Linked DNA regions of Lepisosteus oculatus. The protein of the gene in region 2 binds, or shares a complex with, the protein of the main gene of each other region. Links are inferred from orthologs where the notes say so. Each region holds a gene or a part of one and is shown on either strand. Other genes may lie near its edges.

Evidence for each region.
Region 1: the proteins of rab11 family-interacting protein 2 (region 2) and rab25b are in contact, whole or in part, in a crystal structure (PDB 3TSO), measured with the Homo sapiens proteins. The link is inferred for Lepisosteus oculatus from reciprocal best matches to the Homo sapiens genes RAB11FIP2 and RAB25. Residues at the interface, in NP_055719.1 of Homo sapiens: Arg475, Glu478, Ile481, Asp482, Asn483, Leu485, Val486, Met489, Pro493, Ser494, Leu496, Arg497, Val498, Pro499; in NP_065120.2 of Homo sapiens: Arg34, Ile45, Gly46, Val47, Glu48, Phe49, Ser50, Thr51, Lys62, Trp66, Arg73, Arg75, Ala76, Ile77, Ala80, Tyr81.

The regions. Positions count from the first base shown.
Region 1 is NC_090722.1:3,028,747-3,044,454, reverse strand, and holds the start of rab25b (ras-related protein Rab-25b), read right to left. Parts: upstream 8,141-15,708; 5' UTR 7,727-8,140; coding exon 7,690-7,726; intron 1-7,689. Other genes in the region: ragulator complex protein LAMTOR2, read right to left, coding at 9,509-9,565, 12,802-12,891, 15,419-15,581. UniProt on the Homo sapiens protein: The small GTPases Rab are key regulators of intracellular membrane trafficking, from the formation of transport vesicles to their fusion with membranes.
Region 2 is NC_090699.1:32,576,502-32,592,062, forward strand, and holds the start of rab11 family-interacting protein 2, read right to left. Parts: upstream 6,262-15,561; 5' UTR 5,496-6,261; coding exon 5,143-5,495; intron 1-5,142. UniProt on the Homo sapiens protein: A Rab11 effector binding preferentially phosphatidylinositol 3,4,5-trisphosphate (PtdInsP3) and phosphatidic acid (PA) and acting in the regulation of the transport of vesicles from the endosomal recycling compartment (ERC) to the plasma membrane.

The DNA.
Region 1 (15,708 bases), on a different chromosome or scaffold from region 2:
TAGGACAGAATCCCACACCCACAGCTCTGCACCTGCGTTTCACACTCTAGACATACAGGCGGAAATCAACAAGAGACCGGTCTTAAAAAGATTGCTCAATGACGGAGAATATCAGATTGATAAGGACATCACATTGATCAGACTTCCACATAGGAAAACTGAAAACAGAAACTCTAAAGCAGCATATGTGCAAGAGCTTTATCAATAACGATCATGAAGAAGAACATAGGGTTGAGTTTGTCACTGCCTTTGAGGATTTAGTATTCTTGAATCTGGCTTCCTCTCAGTCTTCTCTAGATTAGAGCAAAGAAGATGAAATTCCTGGAATCTGGGAGGGAAGAAACTTTTGTTGAGCCCAGGAATGTACCGTGTCAATCTTCCAGATCATTTCCGTGAACGGTTTTTTAACATGACCAAAATTATAATCGACATATACCATCAATCCAATTTCCAGCCCCTTTATCCCTTTACAGGATCGTGGGGGAGCCGGTGCCTATCCCAGCAAGCAACAGGCTCAAGGTGGGGGTGCACCCTGGACAGAACTCTAGTTTATCTCAGCCCAGACACACAGAGATACAAACACACACACACTCACACCAGGACCAATTTTCCCAGACACCAATTAACCTACCAGTACGTTTTTGGGCTGTGGGAGGAAACTGGAGCCCCCACAGGAAACCCACACGAATGCAGGGAGAACATGCAAACTCCACACAGACAGCAACCCAGGTCTGGAATTGAACCCAGGGTCCCAGTGCTGTGAGGCAGCAATGCTGACCTCTGTGCCATTGCCCCTCAATGTATAACAGTTTTAACAAACAACACTTCTTTTAAATTCTTGACTGAACTTTAACTACAAATCCCATCATTCTTTGCTGCCCTGGTTACAGATTTGGCTGTTCGGTTTTTCAGGTAGGAAGTGAACAATAGTATAGTTTGAGCTGTGAATGTTCTGGAGACTATCACTGCAGGAGTGTCTGCTTTGTTTTCAGTTGCACCCCAGATCCACCCAGTTCTCAGAGCCTCCACACAGTCTTGACAAAGTTGCAACATTCCAAGACACTCCCAGCACAGAATTTCCTACTGTCTCCAACTCCCACTGTGGGCGAGCTAATCAGCAGAGGCGTGAACAGAATGAAACTTATTGTAGCAACTGCTTTCGGAAACCTGGTCAATTTCGTAAGAACAATCCCAAATATCTGCCTTAACAGAAGTCACAACGAGCAGATTGGACCCAAGGAGTTACCAGACTGGTTTGAACTCAAGCAGGTGGCATTTTGGAGTGACAAACGGAGGTGCATCTTTATCCAAACAGTGCTGGGTGTCTTAAAAAAGCCGCCCAGTTTATGTTGTTCAAGCTGATTTTTCCCGAATCAATCACCTACTGGCAGGAAAGCGAGATGACTTCAGCTGAATAGCCCCTCCCTTGCAACCTTCTGGATACCCCAATACAGTACTTACCTTTCCAGCAGGCTTGGGTAATGCTGGATGACTGCATCTCAATTAATTAACAGGTAGTCAAAAGAGATGCTGAATGAGTAATAGATAAAGAGATTTTTTTTACCCAATGTTCTTAAATAATTTACATGCAGCTACACACAAATCAGCACAAAACAGGATCACTTCCAAAACACAAAATCTGGTCTTGTCGTTCCCACACCGCAACCAAATTTCCAACTTTAGGGCATGTTTGGAAACAGGAATTGCAGGACTTTTCCTTGGACTGTGGGGCTGGTGGACACAGACAGCCATGTCCTATAAAAATGGGATTTTAGTGTTCCTGACCAACGCTTCCCTGAGGACAAATCCCGGTAATTCAACACTGTATCCGAGGACGGAAAGAGAGCTTTGAGCACGCGTGCTGGGCGATGCAAAGTATATTGAAATTGCATCTTATCTAAACAGCAAGAGCACTCAGCTGGTATGTGGATGCAGTTCTCCTACATTCAGGAAAAATAATACCCATCTTTCCACACAGATGCCTATTGAAAAAACACGTTGTACCCATTCTCCGTGCCAGTTCTGGGAGCAGGTATCCGAACAGAAATAAAGAGTCTGTCTGTCGGGGGGGTAGCGTGTTAGTTTAGCAGCATGTGTAATTGTCAGGCATTCAGTATCACCACATGTAAATAATCATAATAATATGTTAAAAATAAACAATTATATACATTGCCTCTAAAATGGCTTTATCAAGCAGTTTACAGTAAGAAACAATGAGCACACAATGAGAGGAGAAGCAGAATTGCACAGTTACAGTGAGAATTTGGAATACAGTAGGAAAGCAAAGGGGCAGCAGACAGCCAGTTAAATAAAAGCCCTTCTGGAGAAGAAGGTTTTGAGTCTTGATCTGAAGGAGCTCAGGGAAGGTGACTCTGATATCCTTGGGGATAGAGTTGCAGAGCTTTGGAGCAGGAGAACAAGAGAAGGCCCTGTCACCCACAGAGTGTAGGCAGGCTTGGGTGACAGATAGGAGACCAGAGATAGAAGAGAGAAGGTTGTGAGGTGGGGAGTAGGGTGATAGTGACTCAGACAGGTACTGAGGTGCCAAGCCATGCAGAGCCTTGTAGGTGAGAATTTTGAAGTTGACACGAAACCTGACAGGAAGCCAGTGCAAGGACTCCAGGACAGGAGTAATGCGATCACTTGAACACGACCTGGTCAGGATTCTGGCTGCCGAATTCTGGACATACTGGTGTTTGTTTGATGTGGATTTAGACACCCCAGCGAGCAGGCCATTACAAAATGGAATTAAGTATGGAATGGTGATTCCATTCAGATTTGAGCATTTTGCCTTTTTGTTGACCTTAATACCTGCACACCTCCCTGTGTGATGCACTGTATGGAGTACCCTTGTTAAGTACCCCTAAAGAGTCTGAATAATGCCTCCTGGGGGCCAGAGATCTCTTTCCCAGCCCCTCCTGGGTGAGGGGAGTCACTCTCTCTATGTTCTGTTTCCTGCTATGTGGACTTCAGGCTTCAGGTATGAGCCTCTCACATCATTGTACAATTTTAAAACAGCGTTTTTAAAATGCTCTTTACATTTTAAACTTAATGCTCTTTTTTCCTTTTTTATTGCTTCCTCCCATTCCCTATAAAATGTCATTTTACAACATGTGTCAACATAACCTCTTTCATGAGCAGCTTCTTCAAGCTCAGTGTCGTCCACAGTAGTAGTTTGTAGTTTGGCTCCTCGGCTACTTGTTTTGTGTAGAATAATACATTGCAGGCGGTGGACTATTATTTATTTGTAATGTGACATCCTGCAGTTTTGGGCTGGGCTGCTGTCGGTCAATAGAAAGACACCTCACCCTGCTTATCCGTTTTTTCTAATCCGCAGACCTTTCCCAATAACAGGCAGGCCCACACTAGCAGTCTCACGTCTGATCGGCCGTGCCTGTTGGACAGATCAAGCACAGCACAGTTGCAAGGCGTGGCTGTGAGACGCCCATTGCATAGCAGAGCAAGCCCTGAGCACCAGGGACTGGGTACAGTGGCTGTTAAAAGATCCAGTATCTGGAGCTGCTGCACGAGCCCTGTGTACAGACTGCTCCTATCACATATTTTAATGACCAAGAGCGTAGATTTGTCCAAATGGCAGCGCAAGTGGATCTGCTGTATCCATGCTAGAGATCACAAAGTCACATTCTACGATGGGACTTAGTCCATTCAGCGAATATACAGTAGCCTCCAAATTGACAGACTTGCGTTTTCGTTTACAGTACATTATTTTAAATTGTAGCCCCGAGTCCAGACTTCTGGAAAATAATCAAATCAATTTCAATTCTCATCAGTAAGAAAACGAAAGAAATATTATTCTTAGGAGCTTATGAGGCCTTTAATTATGGCTTTTCTAGGCTGGTTTGTGATGAATTGGTGCTCTGGGTTGATTTTGTCAGTACGGTACACTATGTTCAGTTAAGGTCCTCTCGAAATCTGCTCAGCTGCTCATTTATTTTAACTTTTTTATTTATTTTAACTATTTTAACTTAATCTTTATGGGGGGGAGGGTTAAAAGTCAGGTGGACTTATGAAGAGGCAGATCTGCACAACAAATGTTCGTTTGCACCGTGCCTACAGGGTGCGAATACAACCAGTTTGTACCACAGGGGTGAGAAGCACAGTACTCACTTACTCCTAACAGGAATTGTACAATGGAATTCAGATTGCAGCTTGCTTTAGGCCTAAATGAAAGCTCCCAGTTTCCAGAGCTCCCAGACAGGTTTATTTTTAACCCAGAGTGAAAAAACAGGCTGAAGGAATTTTTATGACCTGCCTGGATGTGTTATGCTTCAGGTAATGGTCCACAGACTGCGATTGTGAGCTTGCTACGGTTTTATAAGGTGACCTGAAGTGATAGATTCCCTTGGGTACGTGACAGGTTTCTCTTTGTGAATCTGACAGAGATCCCTGAGTTTGGTTCAGGTTTCTCACAATTGGCTGTCTCTGGTCTTTTCAGATTCTCAATTTTTGTTTCACATACAAGAGGAAGAGATATGGATCTTGTCCCTTTAACAATTAAAAACAGGCCCCAGTGTGGCATCTCCTGAACCAGGCGTCAAACAGAGCCCAGTGGTAGAGACTATGACCTCAGCATGCAGAAGAGGAAGTGATGTCACAGAGGAGAAGAGAAGTAGACTAGGCTCTGAGGGGTAAGGGCTGCTACAGAACAATAGCTTGCTTTCATGAACAAGGGCTGGACGCACAGGAGGAACTGAATCTAAACTCCAGGAAATCAAAGCTCAGCAAAGAGGGCTCTGTGACCGTCACCTGTTTCAATTAAAGGAAATGGTAGCTAGAAATATCTTAAGCAACGTATTAGAACAAGGTCTTAAACATGAGCCCAGTATCAGCTTTTTTAGGTGACGTTATGGAACTGAATGGAAGCGTCTGAGTTTGACAAATGGCCGCTACTAAAATATGGATAAATGGAACCACCAGGATCTTCCAGCTGCCTCTCAATGGATTCACGAATGAAACACTTTTGGACTTTTAGATTGAAAAAGCTCCAGACTAAGAGGCAGTCCCCATCTATCTGAATACCTGGTGGAACAGTATGAATTCTCATGAAAACATTCTCCTTAAATCACTGCGTGAAATCATATCGCATGTAGTCTTTTGTTTGAGATTAGGGTCATGTTATGTACCTTTCCTGTATTTCTGTTTTATTTTGTTTATTCTACCCTCTTGATAGAACATCTACACTAACCAGGGGCACCAGCGGAAATGAAGTGGAAGCACAATTATCACTGAGAACAGGCGGCACTTCTCTACACAAAGCTCAGTGGGGGTGTGGAACTCACTGCCCAGTTGTTTCGTAGAGACTGATACCCTGGCTTCCTTCAGAAATGGCGGGGTGGGATCCTCAGATCAATTGGCTATTGAAAAAATAAATGAGCTAAATGAACCAAGTTACCTGCTCTCAATTATAACCATTCTCACCGCCGTATTTGCAATGATCACGATGAAGTACGCACAGGCACTGATGGCTCTGTGGGGTTCGAAACAAACTTTAGAAAAAGTGAGTGAAAACCTCAGACAGCCGGGAAAGAACATTGTGAGGAGGGATGAAACGCACAGAAACACGAGGCCAGCTTTAGCCATGTCTGTGCATTTCAGAGAGCTGTCTGGGCAATTGCGGCCTTCCACCCTCATTCCAGAACGAGGAATATCGTCCCCCATGCCCCAAAAGTCTTTCGACTGGAGGTTTAGCAGACAAGCAATATTAAAATTTCATTTCGCTGCTTCTTCAAGGAGTCAAGAGTACGGACTTCAGGCCCTGGCTGGGAGGCTTGATCCAGACAACCACAGCTCTTGGTATAAAAAACGAATTTCCTTACCGGAAACGGGAGCACCCGGAGAAATCCCATGCGAATGCGGGGACAACATGCAAACTCCGTGCAGACAGCATCCCAGGAAATGAACCCAGGGCCCCAGAGCTGTGAAGCAGCAGCAATGCTGCCCACTAACTTTAATATGCAGGGCTGGGCTCAGATTTGTCAGCCATTGGGCAGAGTGATGCACTGTGTTAGGTGAATCACAAACAGGAGAGCTCCAGAGACTTCCACTCTCCCTCAGCACAGCAAGGATTTGGTGACAATAATATCACATGAGACTTCACGCTGTAAACTTTCCTGCAGTTTCTAATCTGTTTCTTCAGTCAAATACTAGTATGAAGGCATATTTAAAAAAAACTGTTTTTTTTTCCCTAATGGTATTTGGAATGCTCTGAGATGCACAACACAGGATGCATAAGCAGTGAACTTCGCTGTACAGCAAAAAAAGATCCATTTTAAAACCAGTTAAAAAAAGAGATACTTTACATATTGATCTACGGGACCCTGCGTGGTCCATGTGGATTTTAGCTCCACTGCTGCACAGTATCATTGTATGTTGTTGACAAAGTGACCATATTTCATTGTGAGATGAACTGGTTGATTGTTACCACTAGTAACAGCCTTTCTCTCTCCACATTCAACTGTGTTTTAAAGCCCTCACACATAGCAAATATATCACACTTGTTTCTTCTCCTCACAATCCCTCTACAGCCATGACCTAACAACCTCGTACACATGGTGACCTAGATCAGACTTTGCATGACAAGGCCAACAAGGAGTCTGACCCACATCTTTCCTTATAAATAATATACACTTATATAGCGCTTTTCTGGACACTCCACTCAAAGCGCTGTACAGGTAATGGGGACTCCCCTCCACCACCACCAGTGTGCAGCCCCACCTGGATGATGCGCCAGTCCGCTCACTCAGTGGGGAGGAGAGCAGAGTGATGAAGCCAGTTCAGAGATGGGAGGTATAACTGGTAAAGGCCAGGGGGAAATTTGGTCTAGTCTGAACCGTACAGCAGGGGCACATGCCACATTGAATAAGACTCAGGAGCCCTAACAGTAGTTTGGATCGAGATGTGATTGGTTCAAGTGAACAAGATGCAGCTCGATCTAGGCCACACGCTCTTCGTGGCCAACAAACGGAGAGTGTGCGTGTCAGATCAAAGGGAGCTCAAGCTTTTCCCCTGCTTTCCGAGTCCCTGCGGCTCGTGACTCTGTCCATTTGCAGCTCCCAGACATACCCGCGCCAATCCTTCCGCAAGACCGTGCGTTGCTACAGCAGAAAAACAAAAAGTTGACTCATCGGCTCTGTAAACATCCCTGGCTGGGCTGACATGGCAGCAGGTCGATTTCGGGGGAGGGAGTGAAAATGCAGTCAGTCACCGCCCAGACCAACACTGGGAAAATGTTCGCCTTCCCACATGCAGCCTCCACCACTATGGACGCTCTGTACATGGACAGCGCATCTGCCTTGTGCATTGTCGCACCATGACGTGCAGCTGAGTGACTCACGGGGCCCCCCCCGTGCAAAAAGAGACAACTGGCCCCAGCACCAGATCAATGCAGAATCAGCAGGCGCAGGCACGATCTGTATCCGAGACAGATCACTCAAGGAATGTGTAATGGGCTAGAAGTGCAGGGAGCTGCTGCTTGCATTCGAGCCTGATACCCATGCATTGCTTCCTACCTTGTCCGACGGCTCACCAGAGAACTACCGCAGGCCTGAAGCGGGCTGGCTTCTGCCCCCCCCCCCCCAGGCCCGTGGGGCCCCCATAGCGATCCAGCCCCCCCTCTGCAGCCCCAAACACCTTACACAGGCGGCTGTTTGTTAAGAGCAAGAGCCTTACCTTTAAACACAAAGTTATAGTCTTCGTCTGTCCCCATGCTGGCGGCTCACCTGCTGCCGTCTCGTCGGGCCCGTGAGCGTCCCTGCCGAACGGGTCAGGGAGAAAAGGTGGAAAAGGTACCGTCCTCCAGCACCTCCCCCGCCCCCGTTCTCCTGCTCTCCCTTTCCCCTCTGGGAGAGATCCGAGTCCGGAATGCAGTACCCTGCCTGAGCAAGTCCAGGTGGTCGAGATCACCGCGGCCGCCACTCTCTCTCCCTGGGCGCAGGAGTCAGTGCTGTGTTTGCACAAGGACCTGGCGGCTGCGCTCACAGCTGACGGTGGGCGTGTCCGGGAAGCAGGTAGAACAGGTAGAGGCAGCCTGGCCTCCACCCCCCACCCTGGTACTGAATCACCACAGGGCTGACATTGGGAGGACCTCTCGTTTTGTACTTTCTCACTTTCTCCAGCCAACGGACCACCACGAAAGACACTCCCCCTCCGCCTTCCAAAAATGAACCTGCAATCAGTGAAGGAGAGCGGCAGCTTTCTCGGCTCCAGCCCCTCCCTTCCTTTCGCCGCTCTCGGGCTGTAATCATTAACCCGATCAGCCGCTGCGGCTTGGTAATAAGGCCGGCCATCCGGCCCCCCCAGGGAGATCCTGGCGGCTGGGAGTGTGAGCTCGGCCCCGCCCCCTCGCGCTCAACGCCCTGCTGAAGTCTCGGCCGGACAGGTGGGCACCAGCTTCACAGGACGCCGACGGCAGGGGGCTGTTTGTCTACCAGGAATATTCAGGGGAGCTGGTACAGTTTTTCCTACCTTTAACACCTTGATCCAACCTGCTAACATGAAGGCACATGAAACATTCTGATGACAAAATACCTTCAGCACTGTGATTGCTACCCCTACTTCTCTAACCCCCCTAGTGATTGTCAAGAAGCCAGCAGCTCTGTACCTCACCCTTTAACTACTAGGGAATAAATCTAATAAAAGACAGTATATTTTAAAAAAAGACCCAAACACAATAAAAGACTCCTTTTACCAGGAGAGGAGTCCTTCTCCATAGATTGTGTAATACAGCAAAATCAAACACTCATAAAGTTTCTAGACAGGCTGGGCCTTGCTGTCCCTGGCTCCTTCTGTCACACTGCTGCATCCAGGCCTTGTGCATTCACACCTTCCTGAGCTAATGGACCACTGGACAACCTCCTGCAAACTGCAAACAGCCCAATGTAAGGTAAATGGAGCAGGACTGTAATACTTCACAGATATGGAGTTCACAGCTGGGCAGTACAAAGAAACATTCTCTGATCTCCATGCCCAGGGTACAGGGCTGAGCAAAGGGGACTGAAGCCAAGGAGTCATGTATCACCGAAAACAAGCAGATTTGTATTTCTGTCTCCAAGTGCACTGCAAACTGAAAATAATCTGATGCAAGCTCAAAACCAAGGCATCAAGGCACACCCACACTGTTCATTACATTTGCTTTGCAAGAGCCAATGTTTGACAATAAAGGAAAAATCTGGTGTATCGACAGCAAGAAACTTCTTTCATTTTGTTGTTTACAGATTTCACAGAGGTGGTATTACAGATTCTTTGATTAAAACAATGTTCTGCACAGAATGACTTTTAAACAGGATCTAAACACATGCACAGTTGAAATCAATGCTATATACAGATAAATGCTTCAGGATAGTGCTGCCTTATGGATCAAGACAGCCTTAGTTTTGGAAACCATCCCTGAAAGAGTCCAACAGAAAGTTGCTCCTTGGCCAGTTTCCTTCCAGAGACTTCAGACAGGAAATCCAGGAATCGGTGTCACAGTCATTTTCTTCCCCAGTGTTCATGACGCAGCCACTTGGGTTAAAGGTTCCTCCAAGTACTGAACCAGAGCTTCAGCCTAGGCAAAAAATGTAGCTTACTGTTACTTTAAGCATTACCTTTGCTGACCTTAATATATTGTTTTTACTTCCACATTCAAGCAACCAACTAGAAGACCACCAAAGTGTGCAGAAAAACAATAACAACTAATGAAATAAGAAAAATGTTCTTTCAAGAGAAGGAAAAGCACAGTCAGTTTCCATCAAGTTTCAAAAATGCACAGAAACCCACTCCTCTTAAAACCAGCACAATGGCCAAGGATTATTTTGTACAGATGGTGGCAAGCACTTAACAGTAACTAAGCAGCAAAATGTTTAAGCATTGAACAGCAATCCGCATCTCCAGTTTTAATCATTATCTGCATCTGTATAGTGGTTAAATCCTAAAAGATATATATAATAATAATAATAATAATAATAATAATAATAATAATAATAATAATAGCTTACACTTATATAGCGCTTTTCTGGACACTCCACTCAAAGCACTTTACAGGTAATGGGGATCCCCTCCACCACCACCAGTGTGCAGCCCCACCTGGATGATGTGACGGCAGCCATAGCGCGCCAGAACGCTCCCCACACACCAGCTCTCAGTGGGGAGGAGAGCAGAGTGATGAAGCCAGTTCAGAGATGGGGATTATTAGGAGGCCATGATTGGTAAGGGCCAATGGGAAATTTGTCCAGGACACCGGGGTTACACCCCTACTCTTTTCGAGAAACACCCTGGGATTTTTAATGACCACAGAGAGTCAGGACCTCCGTTTTATGTCTCATCCGAAGGACGGCGCCTGTTTACAGTATAGTGTCCCCGTCACTATACTGGGGCATTAGGACCCACATGGACCGCAGGGTGAGCGCCCCCTACTGGCCCCACTAACACCTCTTCCAGCAGCAGACTTAGTTTTTCCCAGGAGGTCTCCATCCAGGTACTGATCAGGCTCACACCTGCTGAGCTTCAGTGGGGCTGCCAGCTGGGAGTTGCAGAGTGATATGGATGCTGGCTAAATGTCTACCTTCTTTCATATTAAAAAAAACTAGGCAGCAAATTTAAATGCTTTGTAGCTTGGCCTGCTGGAGAAGAAAAAAAGGCTTCAAATCTGTGAGAAATCTGTGGATTTACACACCAGGGCTTCCCTCAAAGCTAACGTGACCTCACAGTCCTTTCCAGGATCAGAGCTGGCGGAACCTCATCTTGTTTCTGAGAAGCCAAGACCGTCATGAGTCAATGCAAGACACTTGACGCTGATTCATTACTGCCAGGCTCGGCTCTGCTTCAAAATGAAGAACTGAGCTGTTCAGGCGCTAACACCAGCCTGTGAGTACAAGAAAAAAAACTAAATGTCCATGCCACCTGCTGGACACCTGGAGAACTACACCCCCAAAACATCAGCACTCTAAGAAGGTTACAAATAAGAGAAGAACATTCTGCTCATCTTGCCCCTTTGGAGGTCAGTAGATAATTAAGCCAAGGATGTCATTAGGCAATTCCTTGGAGGAAGCCAGTGTATCACCCTCAACAGCTCGGCTCCTATTGACACAGCCCTGTTCTGGCCTCGGGGCTGACTTTGAGGGTCCTGAATGCTTGTTATGGGGGTCTCTGCTCAGGACTGAAGAGTGTTTAGTTATCTCAGCCTGTAGGTGTAGGACATCCCCATATACCTTGGAGTTGCTCTCTATGGATGGATTTCAGAGCAGCAACATCTTTTCTACAGCATGTTAACCAATAATGTACATATTATTCTAAGTAGGCCTTGCTAATGGACTATACATTATTCAGCCTAACACCCCCCACCCACATTTAAATTCTGTATTGTAATCCAGACTATATCCTAATGTTTTGTTTACCTTCTTAATTTCTCCTAAGGCAAATGATGCATCAACATAAACACCTGAGTCTTTTTTTTCCATTTGTAGCCTCTAATAGCTCAGTGTTTCCCATTTTATACCTGTATTTTGTTTTTACTACCTGCATGCAAAACCCTGCACTTCTCCACATGACACCTGTTAGTGTAGCCAAGTGATCACCACGTTTTGAATTTTATCAACACTGTTTATCTCTTTTTGGATTTCAGGTGCTGATCCTGTGGGGTGTGCCAATCCCCCTTATTTGGTATCATGTGCAAATGTGATTAGTTTACTAATGATATAGGATCCTGGCTCATGGATATGGGTTAAGAAGAGCAGTGGTCCTAGTATATCTCCTGAGGAAGAACATTACATCACCCTTGTTCATCCCTTATTACTACCCTGTTTTCTGTTTACGAGGTAATTTCAATCTGAACACTTTTGTTTCCCTGAGGTCCTACTGTCCGCCATTTGAGAATTCATCTTTGATGAGGAAGTTGATCAAAAGACTTCTGCAAACCTAAATGCACCATAGCATTCTGCACGAGCTCCACACCAAGCAGGTGTCAGCACACGGCTGGCTTGGGGAGCTCCAGACCGACGTCTCTGGAAAACACACCTCCATCTCTACCCTGCTGAAAACAGGCTTCCATCCCACACCTTATTAAACCTCAGACTGCAACCCCAGGTGGAAGACGAGAATGCTTGAGGAGCAGGAGAGGGAAAATATTTCAGAACCTCCTAGTACAGCAGCCATGCTGCCCCTGCTGTGCTTTTGCATGTCATGCAGCAGTAGTACTTTGTCTGGTGAGCGCACATCTCACTGTCTCGTTCTCTCAGCTCCGCAGGTTTGAGCCCAGAGCCACAGTCTCCTTCTGCACAACCACCCTGAACATGCAGTCTTATGGGAGGGGGGGAGAATACAGAATCTCTCTTCAGACTAAACGTGAATCCCCTGCATTAGATCTTAATTTGGAAATCGCATAAGAGTGCCTTTTCCTTATTTATTCATTAGAATCCTGGGAGTCCGGTGGCTGGCGAAACGAGTCTACCTGCTCAACTGAAAGGCACCTCGCCAGCCCAGTCTCGCCGTCAGAGGGAGAGACCCGCCTCGCTCGGAGCCGCTGGTCTCAGGTTGCGCCCCGAGCCCGAAGGGGCCCTCCTCTGACGGCGGCCGGTGCGCGCCAGTGAGGATTACCCACGTGGGGTCGTCAGCGACCCCCTGTTCAGGCCTCCACTCAACTCAGGCCAGCTGTGCCACGCCTGCACCCCCCCCCTCACTCCGGGAGCTCCCAGCAACAGTTGGCCTGTGCCACAGCCCGGATTCGAACCCGTGATCTCCAATCAAGGCACCACCTTTTGGCAGATGAGCCCCACGAAATGCCCGTAAGAACGTGGCAGCACTGACCTTGGCTTTCAGCATCCCGAAGCCCACCGTCTCCTTGGCGTACATGCACAGCAGCAGGTTGGCCACACGGGTGATGGCCACTCGGCCCTCCTACAAGACACAAGGGAACAAGACCTGAGCCTCTTGCAGACCGAGCACCAGACGCACCAGCCCCGGCTCTGAAACACGTCACCAGAGCTCGGTATTTTTTGGGGGGGGGGGATTCTGTCATGTAACTTGGGAGAGGAAAAAAAAAATGGATCCAATACTGAATCTCTATCATCTCTGTTTCCGTTCGCCCTGGAATCACCATCCCAGCGCCTGGTGATTTCCTGTAAAAAGGCCCCACTGAAACACCAGCTGCCTTGGGGATGTGCACATGCTCGTGTCATATGTGAAGTCTGCCCCCCAGCCAGGATTCGATCTCTCGAGCTCCAGAGTATCAGTATCAACACAGATCCCTCTCCAAGAGCCCTTCCCATCTTCCACGGCAGCCTCGCTAGCCAGCAGGCATCAGCCTCGGTGATATGAGTCACACAAGGAAGTAGCTGCTCTGACTATTTATTTCTGCATTAAATTCAACACTTAAGCTGAAATGGAAAAATTAACCTACCAGTTAAAACTCCAGAAGGAGGTCTCTGGAGAAGGAGAGATACTGGGAGAGGTGGATTATTTATATGACCTAATGATAATGTTTTTCTGTTTCTGGAAGTTCTTTTTTCTCCACCCTCATCTTTCCCCTGCACTATCTCCCCTGACAAAATGGAAAAGAATGATAAATAACAGACTTTATACTCATTTATGTTTGTAATAGTTGATGTTTTGCAACTTTTTACATTTATTTTTGATTACCTTTGTATGTTCATAAAAGTAATAAAACATAAGTAACAAATAAATGTAAGACTTAAGATTTTCAGAGACTATGGTGACTCAGAATAGGTTTCCTTGGGTGATAACTCTCACATGAAAAAACTGCTTCGCACTGACTGGTTCTGAAAATAAATGACAAACAATAAATCTAAGGTCAGGATCTCTCTCCTGGCAGCTGGTTAGTTTTCATGTTATAACACATGTATAAGCTCACAAGCGTGAAAAAGATGATTACTGGGAAAAGATTATAACAATACAAGAGAGGTTAAAAATAAAATGAAGCCACACTCTGCTTGTTGAACTTTCAGAAGATTATGGATTCAAGGACTGAAGGATCCCAAGAATTCAGCTTTAAGAATGTGGCCAGGCACTTTGCCCCACTCACCCACTTACTCTTAGTGTAAAGCACAAACACAGACACAGGTCCTAAATGCACTTAACCCTATCTTCTACTTGAGTCCCCAACGTTTTACCCCTCCTTCAAGAGAAGACCTCTAGGTGAGGTTTATCAAAGCCTTTTGGGATTCTGAAGTCCAGCTCAATTGTAAATTGCTTTCCTTAAGCCTAGAAAAATGAATTAATAGCGTTTTACAGTGCTTTTCACCCCAAAGCACTTAATATACAAGACAGACGTCACCTCATCTACCACTATGGTGCCAGACACAACTTGCACTGTGCGCCACAAACTCCATGGCACAGCAGATCAGATGGGAAAGTGGGAAACAGCTTCATCAGTTCACCCTTCACCAGGGGGCTTTATGCAGGTCAGGCTGCGCCAGGCCCAAGGCCCAAGACTAATGTGTAGACTAACCTACTCTTCCAACAGTGGCGAGAGAACTTGAAAGATCAAGCGGTGAAGAACGAGGTTTAAAGTCTCATCCGAAGAGTAGGGCTTCAAAGCTCAGCTGCTGGAGACCCACACACCCACGGCAGCCCAGCGTAGCTCCTGCACTCAACCCTCCACTGTACTAACAACTTACCTGAGCGATCTGATTATTTGCCATTGAGTTTCCTACTCAAAAGTTGGGGATTTTACTTACGAAATGCGGTACAGTAGTTAAAACGTAACCTCCAAAATGTTTAGAGCTGAAACCAGTCAAATTAAATCTAAATATAAAAATGAATGAATCGATATTAATACATCCATTAAGAGTTCAGCTGTGGAACTGAGGGCTCGGCTGGGAACAGAAATCATCGGGTATGTGGTCCACCAGGAGCAGGACTGGGAGCCCCTGTCCTACAGCACAGCGCCCCCCGTCACTATGCTGAGACACTGTCTTGGAAATCCTGTCCCAGGGAGAAAAGCACCACCTACTACCAACACCGCTTACACTAGCAAACTGCTATTCCTGCAGTCCTCCCATGCCAGTGCAGTCCAGGTTCGGCCTTGATCAGCTTCCGATATCTCAGAAAAGAGGGCTAAGAGGTGATGAGGAACAAGTAAAGGTTTATTCCATGCTGAAAAGAGAAGAAAAGAAACACGTTTCCACGGTGGAGCCTTCTTCGGGTCCACAGTGGGAAACTTGTGTTTCCTTTCTTCTCAGCCTGGAATAAACGATTACTTGTTCCTTTGCAGACTACGCATGCTGACGCAGCTCCCCACTTGAACTACTGAGAGGTGATGATGCTATAGTCCTCTAGACTGCCTGTGGTCAGTGTTCGTGGTTGGTCCACTCTGACTCCTTGCAGCAGTAAGCAGTCTGCCGAAGCACTGGAGGAGTGGAACAGTCGACCCCTGGTGGGGACGCGGGGAAGTGCAGCGGCTCACCATGCAGTCCATGAGGATGAACTTCAGCTTGTCCTCGTTGAAGGCCTGGTGCCCGTTCTTGTCGTACGCTGCCCAGATGTTGCTGGCGATGGCGGCGGTCACGCGGGCATCTGTGTCCCCGTAGCCGGAGTAGGCCAGAAGGGAGCCTTCGTTATTCAGCAGGCTGGGGAAAGGAGCAGAGGGAAAGTCACCATCATCAAGTCTCTAACGGACTGCTGGAGCCCTCCTCTTATTCCAGGCTGGCTCCACTGAGTTTCCAAAGTAAGTGTTGAAGGCACAGTCTGTAGGAG
Region 2 (15,561 bases):
TCACAATGTTGTTGAGAACACGGCCAAATAGGTGAAATATTCTTTGCACAGAAAGTGTTTGTGTGGTGGTTGCCATCACATCTATAAACCTGTATTACTGTAGATTACAATTCTAATTGTATGAAATGTAGAAACTAAAAGAAGCTCAGCTCAGGTTGTAGTGCTCCTAAGACACCTTTTCTGATCTGTACTAACAATTAATTTCCACAGTATGAGTCCTACTATTTCCTACACATTGTTCTTTTAGCTGTTTGAAAGCAAACAACTAGTCCAATTAGTCCAACGGTAGCACAATACAAGCCAATGATAGATATCTACTATCTACTAGTTCAGGTGGGTAGCTGCGTCACCATGCGTAGGCTGCAAAGGAAAAAGTAATAGGTTTATTCCATGCTGAAAAAAAGGAGAGAGAAAACTCAACGTTTCGGTCATGGAGCCTTCTTCAGGTGTGCACACCTGAAGAAGGACACCTAGCACACCTGAAGAAGGCTCCACGGCCGAAATGTTGCGTTTTCTCTCTCCTTTTTTTCAGCATGGAATAAACCTATTACTTGTTCCTCTACTATCTACTGTCTACTCTCTTAGCTAGGTTCATCAGCTTCATTTATGTTTCATCAGAATTTTCGTTGGAAATACAGTAGTATACTAAATTGGATTTGTGATCCATCTTAAACTGAAAAAAAGGGTGTCCCTCAATGATTTTAAAGCACTTTCAACTGTGCATCACCACTCTTAAGACCATTTAATTGCAGCATTAGGCGTGGTTTGTTTTTAAACATTCTCTACATTCACAAAGGTACAATAGCATTGCTCTTTTGCCAGGTCTGTACATGTTAACCATAGTAGAATTGTAGAAATTATACTGTCATTTTCTAAAGAAAAAGTATCAGTAAAGGAAAAGAACATTATTGCTCTTGAATGCTGTCAACTTTACAGTTTTACTTCTAAACTAGGTGTTCCATATTTTATGCTCTCCTCTATTAATCCTCTGCAAGAGTTCTCCTAAATGTATTTAAAATATAGAAAATTAAAATACAAAGGTTATTAAAAGGTTAAAATAATTATGTTTATAACAACACTAATAATATGCTAATACACTGTTTCTATACAGTTATAGGAGAGACCTGAGCTAAAGTTTAACCCACACAGTAAATTATCACTGATACTTGCTAAGAAAGCTCTCCACAGATTTGATCACTGTTGTATCTGCATGAAGTACACATAGGTACACCTACGAATTATGCACATCAAACTTAGGTTTATTCACTTGGAAGATAATGTTGGATTTTTGGATATGAAGTAAAGCATACCAGCAATCACAGTTCAAATCAGACTGCCTCCCTTTAAGCAGAACACTACAGACATCCATTGGCCAGTCAGAAAAAAAGTACACAATACAGTACAACTGTATTCTACAAAATGATTTCTTTTTTCATTTTTTGATATCAATTGGCAAAACTCTTTCATTTGACCAAAGAGCTGTGGCTCTTGAACATCTAGATGGAGAAGCAGCCATTCATACCAGATTGTCCTCTTGTGTCTTACTTTAGCGCCCATGCTATGAAATAACTCCATTTCCCTTTTAAAATGAACTTTGCTCATTCGTTTCAATACTCAAAACCACAACAAACAAAAGCACACAGTACAGGTTGAGAGGTGAAGATAGTGTAGTGCTCATTGTGATCAAGAGCTGCAACATAGCACAATTTAAAGTATCAACAGGCAAACTCCTTCTTCTGAACAAACCATTATTATGCCTTAACAATTTACAATACAGTTTAAATTAAGCTCCTAAGGCACTTCGGGGACAAAAGTAATGACCAAAGGCATGAACAAATACACTCATGGCATGAAAGCTTCCTCATACTGTGCATTTCTGCCGGCACATCTTTCTTCTAAATATAACCCTTGAAAATCAATGGCAATAGAGCCTACTGACAAAGCTGTGACAGATTCTCCATTAATAAACAAATCAGAACCTTTGTACTTTACATACAAAGACAAAGACCTGGACCTTGTAGTGCCATTTTTTTCAAAATATGAATCTACTTGAAGATGCTGTAGATCTAGTTAAGGTGAATAAAACATTGCTTTTTCAAGGACTTGGCTAACAGCTTTTCATCTGGGTGTAGCCTATAAGTGGGAAAACTGGTCCAACTAGAACAATACAGGAAGCTGCTGAATTTAAATGGTATGAATTTAGAAATATGTCTTCTATTATTTTAGGTGTACTGTATAACCACAGCTACTTTTCAAAACTACTTTTTACAGTTAATCTCATCATTCATTTTGGTGGATTTAGTCAAATATACATGTGGTTCTGTTTGTTTAATTTAAAAAATAATGAATTTATTACAGTGAAGGTTTGGTCAGATCCACCAGTGTGAGGCTGGCCAGTACCTGAATGGGAGACCTCCTGGGAAAGCTTAGGTTGCTGCTGGAAGAGGTGTTAGTGGGACCAGTAGGGGTTGCTCACCCTATGGTCTGTGTGGGTCCTAATTCCCCAGAATAGTGACCCGTAGGCGCCATCCTTCGAGGTCCTGACTCTCTGTGGTAATTTCTCGCAAAGAATAGGGCTGTAACCCCAGTGTCCTGGCCAAATTTCCCATTGGACTTTACCAATCATGGCCTCCTAATAATCCCCATCTATGAATTGGCTTCATCACTCTGATCTCCTCCCCACTGAAAGCTGATGTGTGGTGAGTGTACTGGCGCACTATGGCTGCCATTGCATCCTCCAGGAGGGGCCACACTTTGGTGGTGGTGGAGGGGAGTCCCCATTACCTGTAAGCTATGGTGGAGTGTCCAGAAAAGCGCTATATAAGTGTAAGGAATTATTATTATAGAATTATTGATTTGTGCTGCAAAGAAGCAAGTTTTAAAAATATAAACTCCCACAGTATGGAATGTTACTGTGATGCCTACAGAATAAGGATAATTTAAACCATCTATTGATCATGACATTAAAGCAATTTAAATCCTGACTACACAATGAGGAAACTGTTAGCCTTTCAGGAAGACTCAGCAAGTTTAGAAATGAGGCATAGACACAATTGCTGGTGTTGCTGCTTTAGCGGTGACACACTATAAAAAAGTGGAGACTGTACAAATTGGATTAATAGTTCCTTCTAAATTTACAGTATTGCATGTCTTTCCTCATACACGTTTCAAATTCTTCTCTTATCTGCAAGGCTTTGTTAGTTTAGATTAATAATCTCAACTCCCTGGTCCAGGAAAGCTCCAAACCAGTTTGTATCACATAGGTCACACTGAGCTTTTTTAAAAAAATAGCAACAGTTCTAAGTGGTTGACCAATTTAATAAATACATTATTCAGTTAAAGAAGCGCTGATCCTTGAGGACCATTCAGTGGAAATTGAACTGTTCAACTGTTCCAAAGGAACCCTAAACTATTTATAATAATTAATAATAATTGCTTATACTTATATAGGGCTTTTCTGGACACTCCACTCAAAGCGCTTTGCAGGTAATGGGGACTCCCCTCCTCCACCACCACCACCACCAATGTGCAGCATCCACCTGGATGATGTGACGGCAGCCATAGTGCGCCAGAACGCCCACCACACATCAGCCATTTAATCCGAGAATCAACTTTCTATTTTATTGAGTTAAACCCATGGTAAATAAAGCTTTAGTTTAAAAAAGTGAATACTAGAGGCACCATCATATTTATTCTCAGAATATTAATACTGAATGAAAATTGGATAAACTCAGTCTTGTGATTGCACACAATGTGATCATTATAAAGTGGTTAGTAAAACCACCAGCAGATGGAAATGTATTAGTGAACATCAGTGGAGGTCTGTTACATGATTCTTCTAAGGGAGCTGTTTAATAGTGTGTTGACCTTAAATAATAGTTTAGTTGCTTACACAAAAATCTAAGGGCAAAATTTTATTTTTTAGTTTGTAGAGAGGTTGTTTGCTGGTGTGAAATTAACATTGTACCAGTGGATTTTATAAATCTGTTTGCATTCTTGAATACAGTTAGTTACACTTGTCTTCACAACTGATAGAGGATTCACAACTGAAATTGCAAAGAGATGTTATTGTGGAATACTAATGCAATACCAGTTTATGCCTATATCAGAGAGAGCACTCTTCTCCTTCAAATAATCTTAAGGGGATAAAAAAAAGTTTTGTTAAAGCAAAAGTTTACTTACAGTAAACAGCAATGGACAATACGAAACTGAATGCATTACAGTAAGAAATAGTAAGCAGAGATTCTGAATCAGGGGATCACACTGCATGAGACGTAACAAGGTTACTTGAAAATGAGCACTGCTGAAGTGGAGGTCAAATTTCTCACAGTAAATTCAAGCAGGGGAGTAGCTGATATGAAATCGGGTCATGCTTTCTTAGATCACCACTCAAAATTCTAATTGGGTGATCTGAAGCAGGCGAGTCTGCAGTTCCTGGAATGAGAGGTCCCAACAGACAGTTCTCCTGCAAGCAAGGTGAAAGCCCTCCTCCCCCACACAGGAAGAAGAATAACCTTCACTTCACTTAGCTATAGTACAAACACTGAGTACACAAACATTGTGGGGCTAAAACTGCTGCGCATATTAAGGCAGTCCCTACAACTATGGCACTAAATTCAGAAATAAAATGTTAAGAGTAAAGACTAATAAACCAAATAAAGATTCACCTGGCTTTTGACTCAAGAGTACAGAATGAACTACTAATGGAATTTATGCCTGAAAGAGAAGCTTGAGAATTAATAATTGTGCTTTTGACAACTGCAAACACATCTCCCGGATCAATATAAAACACACTTACAATCTGCTTAGACACTCACACAGTGAAATAAATGAAAATCAAATACCAATACATAGACAATTCGATGAATGAAAATTTATTTTCATTAACTTGTACTGTACTTATTCGATTTTTCATGAAACTGTATTTCCATAAGCCTCCTGTCTGTCTCAAAGCTTAAAGAACTTGGCTGGATGGTTGGATGGGTTTCAAAGACAACATTTTAATTTATTCTTGTCACCTACCATACATACAGTACCATTCTCTGGAAATCAGGTTGTCCTCAATTAAGTTGTGCACCTGTATTTCATTTCGGAGAAAAAAACAAAACAAATGCTTGTGTACAAAGTAGTGGCAGCACTTACTCAGTTTTTCTTCGTTCCTTGTTATCAAAGATTTCATTGAGGTTGATGGCCTTCTGTCCCAAGAATTTATCCATCCCCACAAGAGACCTATGCATTACTATGAGGTGCAGCTCATAGATTTCTGGGTTGCCTTCAAGAAGCAAACCAGGGAGCTCAAAGGAAGCTTCTTCTTTCCATACTGGATTAAGAGTCTTCTCAGCCACAGATGTAGAGTACTTCTCTTTGCCCAGCTGGATGATGGTGTAAGCATCATTGGAGCCATTTTTACCTTTGGGTATTAAGTCTTTGGCTAGTAGTACAGTGGCTTGTACATGGGTTGGAAACCACTTTTGGGACTGTTCTGCGAGTGACATTGTTCAATTTTTTAAAAAAAATCTATTTAATTTTATTTAAGAGTCAACTGCTTGATAATGATGGCACAAAAAGGTAAAAAACAAAATTAAAACATTATAAATGGTTCGTTACAATGCATATCGATAAAAGATTACATAATCCATACTCAACAGCTGTACGAAGCCATTGGAACGTGAATCAGATATAACTAGGCTCTAACTTTCAAAATGCCAGTGTGTACAGTGTCATTTCTTATTAAGCACTCTCACGTAACAGATCTAGGCTATACTCCTAACATAAAAAAAAAGTTGGAAAACTGTTTCTCCAGCAGTCGACAGTATATTTCACATCTGGCCCAATCACAAGATTATCTCAGAAATCCGTGCTTTTCTAAGTATATTCTGGTTTGGGATGACATTTAAAACGAAGAATAAATCTATAATTAAATGTAGATATAAACAAATGCTTGGAGTAAATGTTTTAACGACATCCTTACACTCTGACAGCGAAATCACACATAAAATAAATCACATTCATCTTTTAGTAAGACATGTATAATTAATACACTTGCCATCCAGATTTTGCACCGACAAAAAATAAAACAACCCCGATCCTGTTACCTCCAAATCATTTTTCCACAGATCTAAACATATTGTCCGGTTATCGTAACACAGCTGTACGCAATTATTACGTCTTGTTGTTTGGCATCCTCAGTATAAATCATTTCAGGTCATTGTGCAATGTGATCCGCACAAACCAGTGGTGACTTCCTAGTTCTCCATGTTGATTTCTGTTTGATGCAGTCAGAGGTGAGAGTTCATGCTCCTCCTCGGTTTCCAGGGAAACTAGAAAGTTTCAGGAACTAAACCATCGCTGCATCTGAGTTCATCTAAGTGCGGGATGGGAGAAAAAAAGAAAAGCTGATAAAGAGCGTTTCCTAAACTGCAATTGTTGGAGTGATAAACTATTGATTGATAAGGTAAGCATTGTACTGCGTGTTTGTGGTAGTATTTCTTGATAAAAACGACTGAATAAAAATGTGCAGGAAGAAAAAAAAAACTGCGGATGTTAAAAAGTACCGAAAACCTTCAATGCAAACAAATGCAAGCAATTTCAAACTATTTAATTACACTGGAAATGTTTTAATACATTAAACCAAATGATTATTAATAGATTAGCATTCTAAAACTATAACAAATTGACCTTATTGTTGAAATCAGCGGGAAATAGGCAATACGTAAAACGTACACAAAAACTTAAGTACTCAGAAAAGGGAAAAACATTTTAAATTAGGCTAAAAACAGAGCAACTTTCTTGTGCATTGACTTGTTAAATCTGTCCCTCATTTGCATAGCTATTAAAACATTTACCAAATGAATGCTTTCAGTTACACCTCTAACCTTTCCTCTTTGTTTTACTGCAACAATGCAAACAGTAGAAGTAATACCATTCTGTCATGACATACTGAAGCAGCAAGTGTGGGCAATCTGTTAACCTGACTTCTCTTTTTGTGCCAGTAGCTGTGTTGTGAAGATTGCAAGATAGCATCATTTTTGTGTTATTTGAACTCGGTGATTCTCAAAATATCATGACTTTGCAATATGGTGCACATTTTGTATTGCTTAAAAATATGTAAAAATATTGTGATCCATTTTGAAAAAATGGGCAAACGTGTGCAATTTGGCCAGAAACCCACAGACTGCTGTTTGAGAGCCTATGTTTTTCGTCAGATGATATAATTGCCACTGTACAAGTGTCTAAATGGTGCAGTGCATGTCATAATCTGGGTTTCCATAAATTGTGTCTTAGATGGATGTACAAATGCATAAATGGACACAAATAAAACAAGTTAGAAACCAAGGCCATTCACTCCATCTAGCTCTTTTAGTAGCTTTTAGCTAGTTAACTGAATGGATAAAGACTATTTGTCAAATAGGGCCATCAGATGGAAGCCAGAAAATGCAGGTACCAAAATGCAAAATCCAGAACAGCAAAGCAGGGGACAATCTCCAGTGATTTAGAAAGGGCTGAAGTAGAAGGAAAGGAACTGGAGACTATAACAGTCGAGAGACAAAGATGGAAGAAGTTGGTGGTCCAACGTGCAGGTGTGCACTAAAGAGATTTAAGACTTAATATCTGACATGGGTCTCATCCAATCATTTCCTGGAAGTTGTTAGGGTATTGGGTTCACAAGCATAATTTGGTCATTGGTACACTTTTCATTCATTTATATTTATATTAAAAAGGTACACTTTTAAGACTTACAATGCTTTAAGACTTGTTAAGATTAAGATTTCACAAGTTCAGTTCTTTTAGTTAGTGAAGGATGTTCTTTTAAGTCCAGTAAATTGCCTAGAAAACTGGACACAATATTTTAACACTGTCTTACAACTATATACTACTATAATTTGAACATTCTCGATTTCAGCTCTAAGCCTTTCACTATAAACACTTTATATTTGGTAATTGCTTTCAGACATAGTCTAGAACAGTGTGGTTCTCAATCCTAGTTCTCAAGTATACTTATTTTGCCTGCCCTTATTTACCTGTGCTAACCGATGCTTGTAACTGATCTACTTGTTGATTTAACTTTTCTGTTTCAGAACTACCCTAGTTGAAGTTAAATTTCATGATTTACAACATTTTCCATGCAAAGAATTTTATTAACTTGGTCATACATAAGTGGGAATTATATTTTATCACAAACTGTAACTCCGATTTTGAGTCAGTGTTTTTCCTTCTGCTTTTGGTCTGACTGATTATATTTCAGCTAGCACACCTGAATCATGGCAGTCTTGAAACTAATTAACACGGGGTTCGTATGGATTACAAGTCTCTTCACATAATAAGAAATGAAATAAAATAATAAAGGACTTCAAACAGAAATTTGAAATAAATTAACCTGTCATTATGAGCTCAATGGGACCATGGTCAAGAACTAGTGTACTAGGGTATGTTGAATTAGAGGCCTCAGTTCAGAAAAGAAAGCATGAATGGGGAAGAAATAAGCAGTGGTGTTTAAGAGATAGTTGGAACAAAAAAACAGTAGACACAGGGGTCCTTCAAGGCTAGGACTGAGAATGAGTGGCCTAGAAAATATACAGCAGGATAAACATTATCATTGATATATGATAAACATCAAACATGTCCTGTTCATAGGTGGCCTTTCCCAATTTGTACCTGCAAATATATATTTTTGTTAACTGCACTTATATACTGTATATATACTGTAGGTTTCTCCAAGGAAGAGATTTATTTTTGTTCTTTTATCCACATTTTTGAATCCGAAAGCAGAACTCATCAATCCAGTATAAAGTCACCAACATAAAAAAATCATTCAAAGGATAGCCAAGTGTCAGGAGAGGTAAGATGATCTTATCATCAGTAACATTATGCAATTCTGACAAGCACATACCCTTACTGTTCCATGCACTTCTTTATTGCGCAGCTCACTTTCTCAATGCAATGTAAACATTTATCCCTATTCTGAATACATTTCAGCTTTTGACCAAAGGGGACATAAGACTGGCACGTGGACTTTATGGTTGTCAGTTTCAAGAAATTATTTCAGTTCAATTCAGTTCAAAATACTTTATTCATCTCAGGAGGGCAATTGAATTCAGTTTGTTTTGTTGAAAAGAGCCCATTGTTTGTCTGTCCTAGTGTACATTGTTTGTTCTGGTGCCATTATTCTACTGTAAGTTGATGTTCCAGTCACTGTTTTATCATTAGCACTTTTCTTAAATTATTCTTAAGAATATCCGAGTTCTATATTAAATGCCATCCGATTCATAATACAAATCTGCAACTTAACTTGCTTTCAAAGAAGATCTTCTGTCAATTACTTTATTTTGTAATTGATCATATTGATTGCCTTTGGAGTGTTACAGTACATGAACACTAAAAGTTGCGGTGGCTGAGCGAGTGTCTCCCCAAGCCAAGATTTTGATTGTGAATGCATTGTTTATTGGACTGATATAGCATGATTAAAAGAATGCTTTTTAATATTACAACATTTCAAGCACGTCCATCTAAATGGTGCATAAATCCAATACAATGTGAATATTCCTAAATAAAAAACACATGTTGTGTTTAAAAGGACCGCAGTGAGCTTTGAAACAGAGCAGGACTAATAAAGCAATGTAAAGCAGAACTCATTTACTCAGTACATTTTTGGGGTAAATTTAAAAATATCAATTTTTTCATTAACAAAATCATCATGCTTTTTGTGTTTTAATCTGGATTGCCTAAACAATGTAAAAAATAATGTTTTATAATGTTATAAACCATTTTTGTGTTTTTACATCATATAAAGAATATGGGTGTGTGAATTTAAACAATCCAGGTCATCATAATTGGCCTTTCTGGTTCAACACTGCTGCTCAGGTATTTGTGTTAGGTGTTAGACATACTGTACGCGACTATGTAGAAAACTAGCACATAGATTCATGTAGTGTGTGACCTGACTATCAAGGGACCTTTGTTATTTTCATTGTAACTACAGTGATAGTCTACTCCTATAAGAATCATTAGATCCCAATATATGCAACTTCCATTATTTCTGGCTGTCTAAATGCATTATTGAGATAAATCATGAATGAGTGGCCTTTTAACTGTTTTTACTTTCTGAAATTACAATTTACATATATAAGGGAAGATAAATGAAACTTACTTAATCCACCAATTGTTGCCACTCTATTCTAATGTGGCGTAAAAAAATATTATGTAGTATCTGAAACAGTAAAAACATTATTGGAGAACACTATGGAAGAGATTTTGGACTGGAATTCATTCCCTAGTTCTCCTGACATTCTATATATTGTACAGTACCAGGACTGAAACTAAAAACATCTGGATTTCACAATGAACAGCAGAAGAGCAGCCTGGAAGATAAACGGAATACGGAATATATATACCCGCAAGTCATTTGTGTGTGAGTTTGTTTCACATTACAACACAGAAAACTGGACACAGTAGGTGGTCTTGTTTTGAAAACTCATTACTTTTCTTCCTTAGTCATGACATTGATCTGGTGCCTTTTGTAGCCTGCCAGAATCTCTTATGCACCAGAATCATTTGCATAAGATGAAATGCTGAGTGTAATTTGTCTCTGAATTCTATATGTTTAGTATTTTCACATGGTTGAACATTTGACTATTTTTGTCTTCAATGATGGAGATCAGCAAGCCTTTTGTCTGTTTTGCTGAAATGAGACATTACCACGTAATTATCAGTTTGCTTGTAGAATTACTGGAAACCATTAGAATTATCAGACTAAAATTAGTTTTCAGTCTCATTAAACAGGTCATTAAGTAGGGCTCTACTTTGTTTTTTTGCACTCTTTAGCCACTGCACTGTGTTTTACAATGATCAACTAATTTTAGAATTATTGAGCAAGAGAATATGAGTATTGCTCCAGTCACATTGCCATTGACAAAAGGGGTGACTATTTTAGAGTATGAAAATAAATGATCAATTAAATATCTGTTTTAAAAATTGAATTGTAAGGACTGTTCTTGTAAGAAATACTGTATAAGAATGTGTGCAATATAAATGTAAATACATAGCTTTATTAGATGTTATTCCAGTCTTAAGGCCTCTCTAAGCTTGCATTGCTGAGACATTTAAAAAAAGTATCAATTTGGCTTTTACTGACAAATCACTCAATTTTAACAAAAAAGAAGCGAAAATGTTAATGCTTATGTTTTATCCTAATATTTTTCACATGTGTAGGACTGTTTGTATAAATTGCTATTTTATTGTTGAAAAATTCCTGAGGATCATACTTGAGTTTTAACAAACCAAATATTCCAGACGTAGATGCAAATTTACAGTTCTAGTTACTCCAAATAGAAATAAGGGGCATTTCAGTACTAGAACAACACAAAGAAATGAGAGCGTACTCAACAAGTAGCTCAAAAGGCTACAATATGGAAGCTTATAGTTTATTACCTTTTAATTTGTTGAAACAATATTCCAGAATTGTTGCTTGAGGTATTGAGGTGTTGTAGGGCTGCATTTCCTCTGGACAAGACAGAATTAAAGTTTGTTAGTTGCTAATTTTGTTTGACATGTTGTGCATCCATATTTTCTGTGCTAGCACTTTACTGAATGTGTGTACAGTTCACACAAAGCATGCTGTGCATTAGGTGGGGCTGATCTTCAACGGCCCAGGTTGCCACAAAGAGTTATCCGAATCACTGATGTACACCCAAAATCTGAAGTTATATGCCAGTGAATCACAGCTGTGATTGCGTTTATCTGGTTATAGTATAATATATTTTTAGACAGTCTTTAACTTAAGAAATCTTGAATTTTGAGATTAAAAGGTTGCATTTATGCACAAAACCTTTACAAATACCATACAAATTTTGACCTTGCCTATCAATTTAAAAAGTCGAAAAGTCTCCCAGTCAGAGAGACCACAGATTAAGCATATTGCAGTGGAATATCCCTGAGTATGGAGCCCACAGCACACTTAGTTAAATAATTATAGGATTTGCCTTTTAACCAAGGCACCATATTTCTCCCTTCAACTAGAAATGTGCTTGGAGCACAGATGTTATCATCTTCATCACTGAAGCACAGTGAATAAAAGGTGCAGTGGTCTACTTCTGCTAGTACTTGCAAGAGGTAGAGCACAGAACTTTAGGTATCCCCTACTGGTGTCATCAATGTTTGTTGTCAGGGGCTGCAGGGTATAGATAAGGTGTACATTTGAATATATATAGTTATACATGACACCCCACTTCACAAGTATTTCTTAACCAAACACATTTGCTTCCAAGACACTTGGAAGCACCCTGGCATGGCTATACAATATGTATATCACCAGCTACAGGAACATAGCAAATACATCCATCATATTAAAATGCTCTTAATCTATTGAGCTAGTGTCCACTAATTAAAAAAGCCATAAGTTGTGATATACTATACAAAGCACTTTTTTTAAATGTGTCATATTCAATAAAAAGGTGCTGTGACAAGTAACAACATTTTGACAAGTGCCTTCAAGACTGCTGGTAAACATTTTATTGCAGCTCATTTTATGATGGAGCATCACCAGGTTATGATGGAATTTGCCCAGCAAGTCATGAGTGACAGCTGTTTAAACACCAGCATCTCTTTCATAGTTATTCAGTGAGGTGTGACTTATAATCAGAAATATTTTTTTTCCCCCAACATGGCCCATGTGGCCACCACTCAGAAACCTAACTACAGTATGTAACAAAATTCCAGTTAGACATTTTCAGAATAAAATATTTTTTCTTATTACAGCTTTTCTGCGTGGACACCTTTCAATATACAGTATGTCAATTGCCCAACTAATTTATTCACTTTTAATAGATAATTCAGCTGTAATTATATACATTATTTGTGTGCATGATTAAAATGTATAATGTGCAAATTATATTTTTTTGTTTGATAATCCTATATACAGAAATTGATTCTATTAAATAAATTTGACCCAAGTTAATACACAGGATAGTGCATATTTTGAAAAGCTTATGCAAAAGTTCAATAACTTTTGTATCTGACTGTGTCTTTGTTAAGTATATATTATACACTCTAACAGCAAAAAACATTATCAGGTATATACCTACTGAAGTATCAGCTTGCCTATTTAAAAAAATAGAATGGAGGTCACAAGGCCATTGTTTAATTTAACAATTTGTATACCACACTTATATATTGCACTTTAAGACCTTAATAATAGGCTTATCTTTAGCACAGGATTAAAACATAAAAGGCTTCACATTCCAAAGTCATCTGTATCCATTTATTGCTTATTCCTGATAGAACATATATAAAAACACTGTCCCATATATTGTCATAAATCTCTATATATAACGTATGACTAAACTCTCCAAAGGAACAAAAGTAAAGCCCATAAAATGTCAAAAACGGAAAGAAAAAGTATTGCATAGCAGCAGGAGACCTGCTGAGGAGTCTTATCCATTGTCTTAACCTGTAACATTTCAGAAGGGCTTCTCACTGAATCTGTGCATATGCTTTTGGTTTATACTTTATCTGTAACGCAGTACAGGTGGTATTACATTAACTGAACACTTAATATCTCTGGAAAACACAAGGGCCAAAGAAAGTCCATCGTTTGTCAAAATATCTATTAAAAGATTGCAAAATTATCTCAGCATTATTTTTAAATTGCTTTTCAGCCATTTCTGAATGTTTAAGTGTCTGTTGATCTTGATGTGTACAGATCACAGCTGAAATTTCATAAAGATATCAGTGCAATCATTGCACTTAAACTCTTTCAAATACATTTCCAATTTGCTGTGACAATTAATCATACAGAACATTGCAAGTGTAAAAAAAACTAAAATAAGGGAATTAGACAACTACATAGGCTATACTGTGGTTTCTCTAAACATTTTTACATAATCTAATAAAACTAATATTTATCATAAGTAAATGTATTTACTATTTAGTATATTTGTTATTAGTAAACGGTAAATGCTTTTGACCCTGGATAGATCTTTGTCAAAAGACTAGAATAAGCTGATACAGTCTACATAAAGTTAATGTTTTAAATTTAGTTTTAGGAAGTAACTTTTGTCTGAATTCCTTAAGTGATGTTTTTTGAGCAACCTGATCCCACATTGACACTCAATGAACCACTCTATTAGGCAGTCCTACTAAATGTGGAATGAGGGACAATCATCCTAACTACAGCTTCAGCTACTAAACATGAAGTATTTAGTTAGTGATGTAATCTTAGTGAAGATAGACCAGATTGGCAAACTCCTAAAACATTTTAGCAAATACATCCATCATATTAATGTATTGAAAGAAATCTTGTGAAAGAGCAAAGAGCTGGAGTATGTCTCCACTGGCACCTGAGGCTGCACCACTGGTATGACTTCAAGGTAGGAAAGACCCCCATTCTGAAGTTTGTATCCATGGCCAGTGAAGCTGAGACTGACCACATCTACCTGGTACATTTCCACCTCTTCCAGCAGCCCCACCTCCTTCCCTGCAATAGAATTGACAATGCATGTCCCAAAAGCCGGTCTCCATTGCTGGAGTCCATTTCTTCATAACCCATCCCTCTTTTAACCATACTGGCACCTGACCCTCACCCTTCACCCTGCAGGTGGCGATCCCAAAATGGCAGGTTCAATCAGCCATTTCAGAGAAAATATGTGTCCTGGTGACAGAGAACTCGCCAGCAAATACCACTTGGTCCTGACATTCTTGGTCTTGGTGAAGTTCTCCTGATCTCTCTTGGAACCATCATGAGAGTCTTTGAGTGGATCGGTTTTTGTTTGGGACCTTGCTTCATACCTTTTCTCTAAAGGGGATCCCTCCAGGAGCACTAGGCTCCAGACAAAAATAGCAATAGGGTTCAGCAAAAATTCCAACTTCTTGACTTTAATAACCCACAGCAAAATTTTACAGTTTTAACTTGTAAAAAATGTATTTCTGCTATTTTTATTGGAAACTGGAGCAAAAAAAATTGAAACATACAGATGGAATTTTTCCTCTTTAAATTCTAAATGTCAAGTTAAATTCAGTACTCATAAAAGTGTGGCTTTTTAATTAGCTTGTTTAGAAGGAAAAAATATATTGAATCATGTTTTTAATGCAATTTTGTTCCCAAATAAAGAAATGAATTAAAGTCATAAAATCTTCCTGCAACACAAGGAGTCCCCTTTTAAGTGAAGATCGAAATATGAATTATGTAGCTCACAGTTTACACCACTGTATACTAACTTATCTAACTAGTCTTATTTAATTGTTTGGTACAGCAAACAAAATATACAGCTGGAAAAAAAAAGGTTTTCCATATGAAAATCAGCCTTTGGAGGAGATCTTATGACTAATTTAAATCCAGCATTTAAATAAAAACTAAAATATTTCTATAATAAATACAAAATCAAGATATTACATATAAATGCCCATTATTGTGAGACAGTCTAAACAGTTAAATTTGTTCATTATTGCTTTTTATTACATTATTATTATTATTATTATTAATATTATTAATATTGTTGTGAAACCATATGTCAAGAAACAGAAAATTGCACCACATAAGCCCTTCTAGTTAAGATGTCAAGGGAAAAG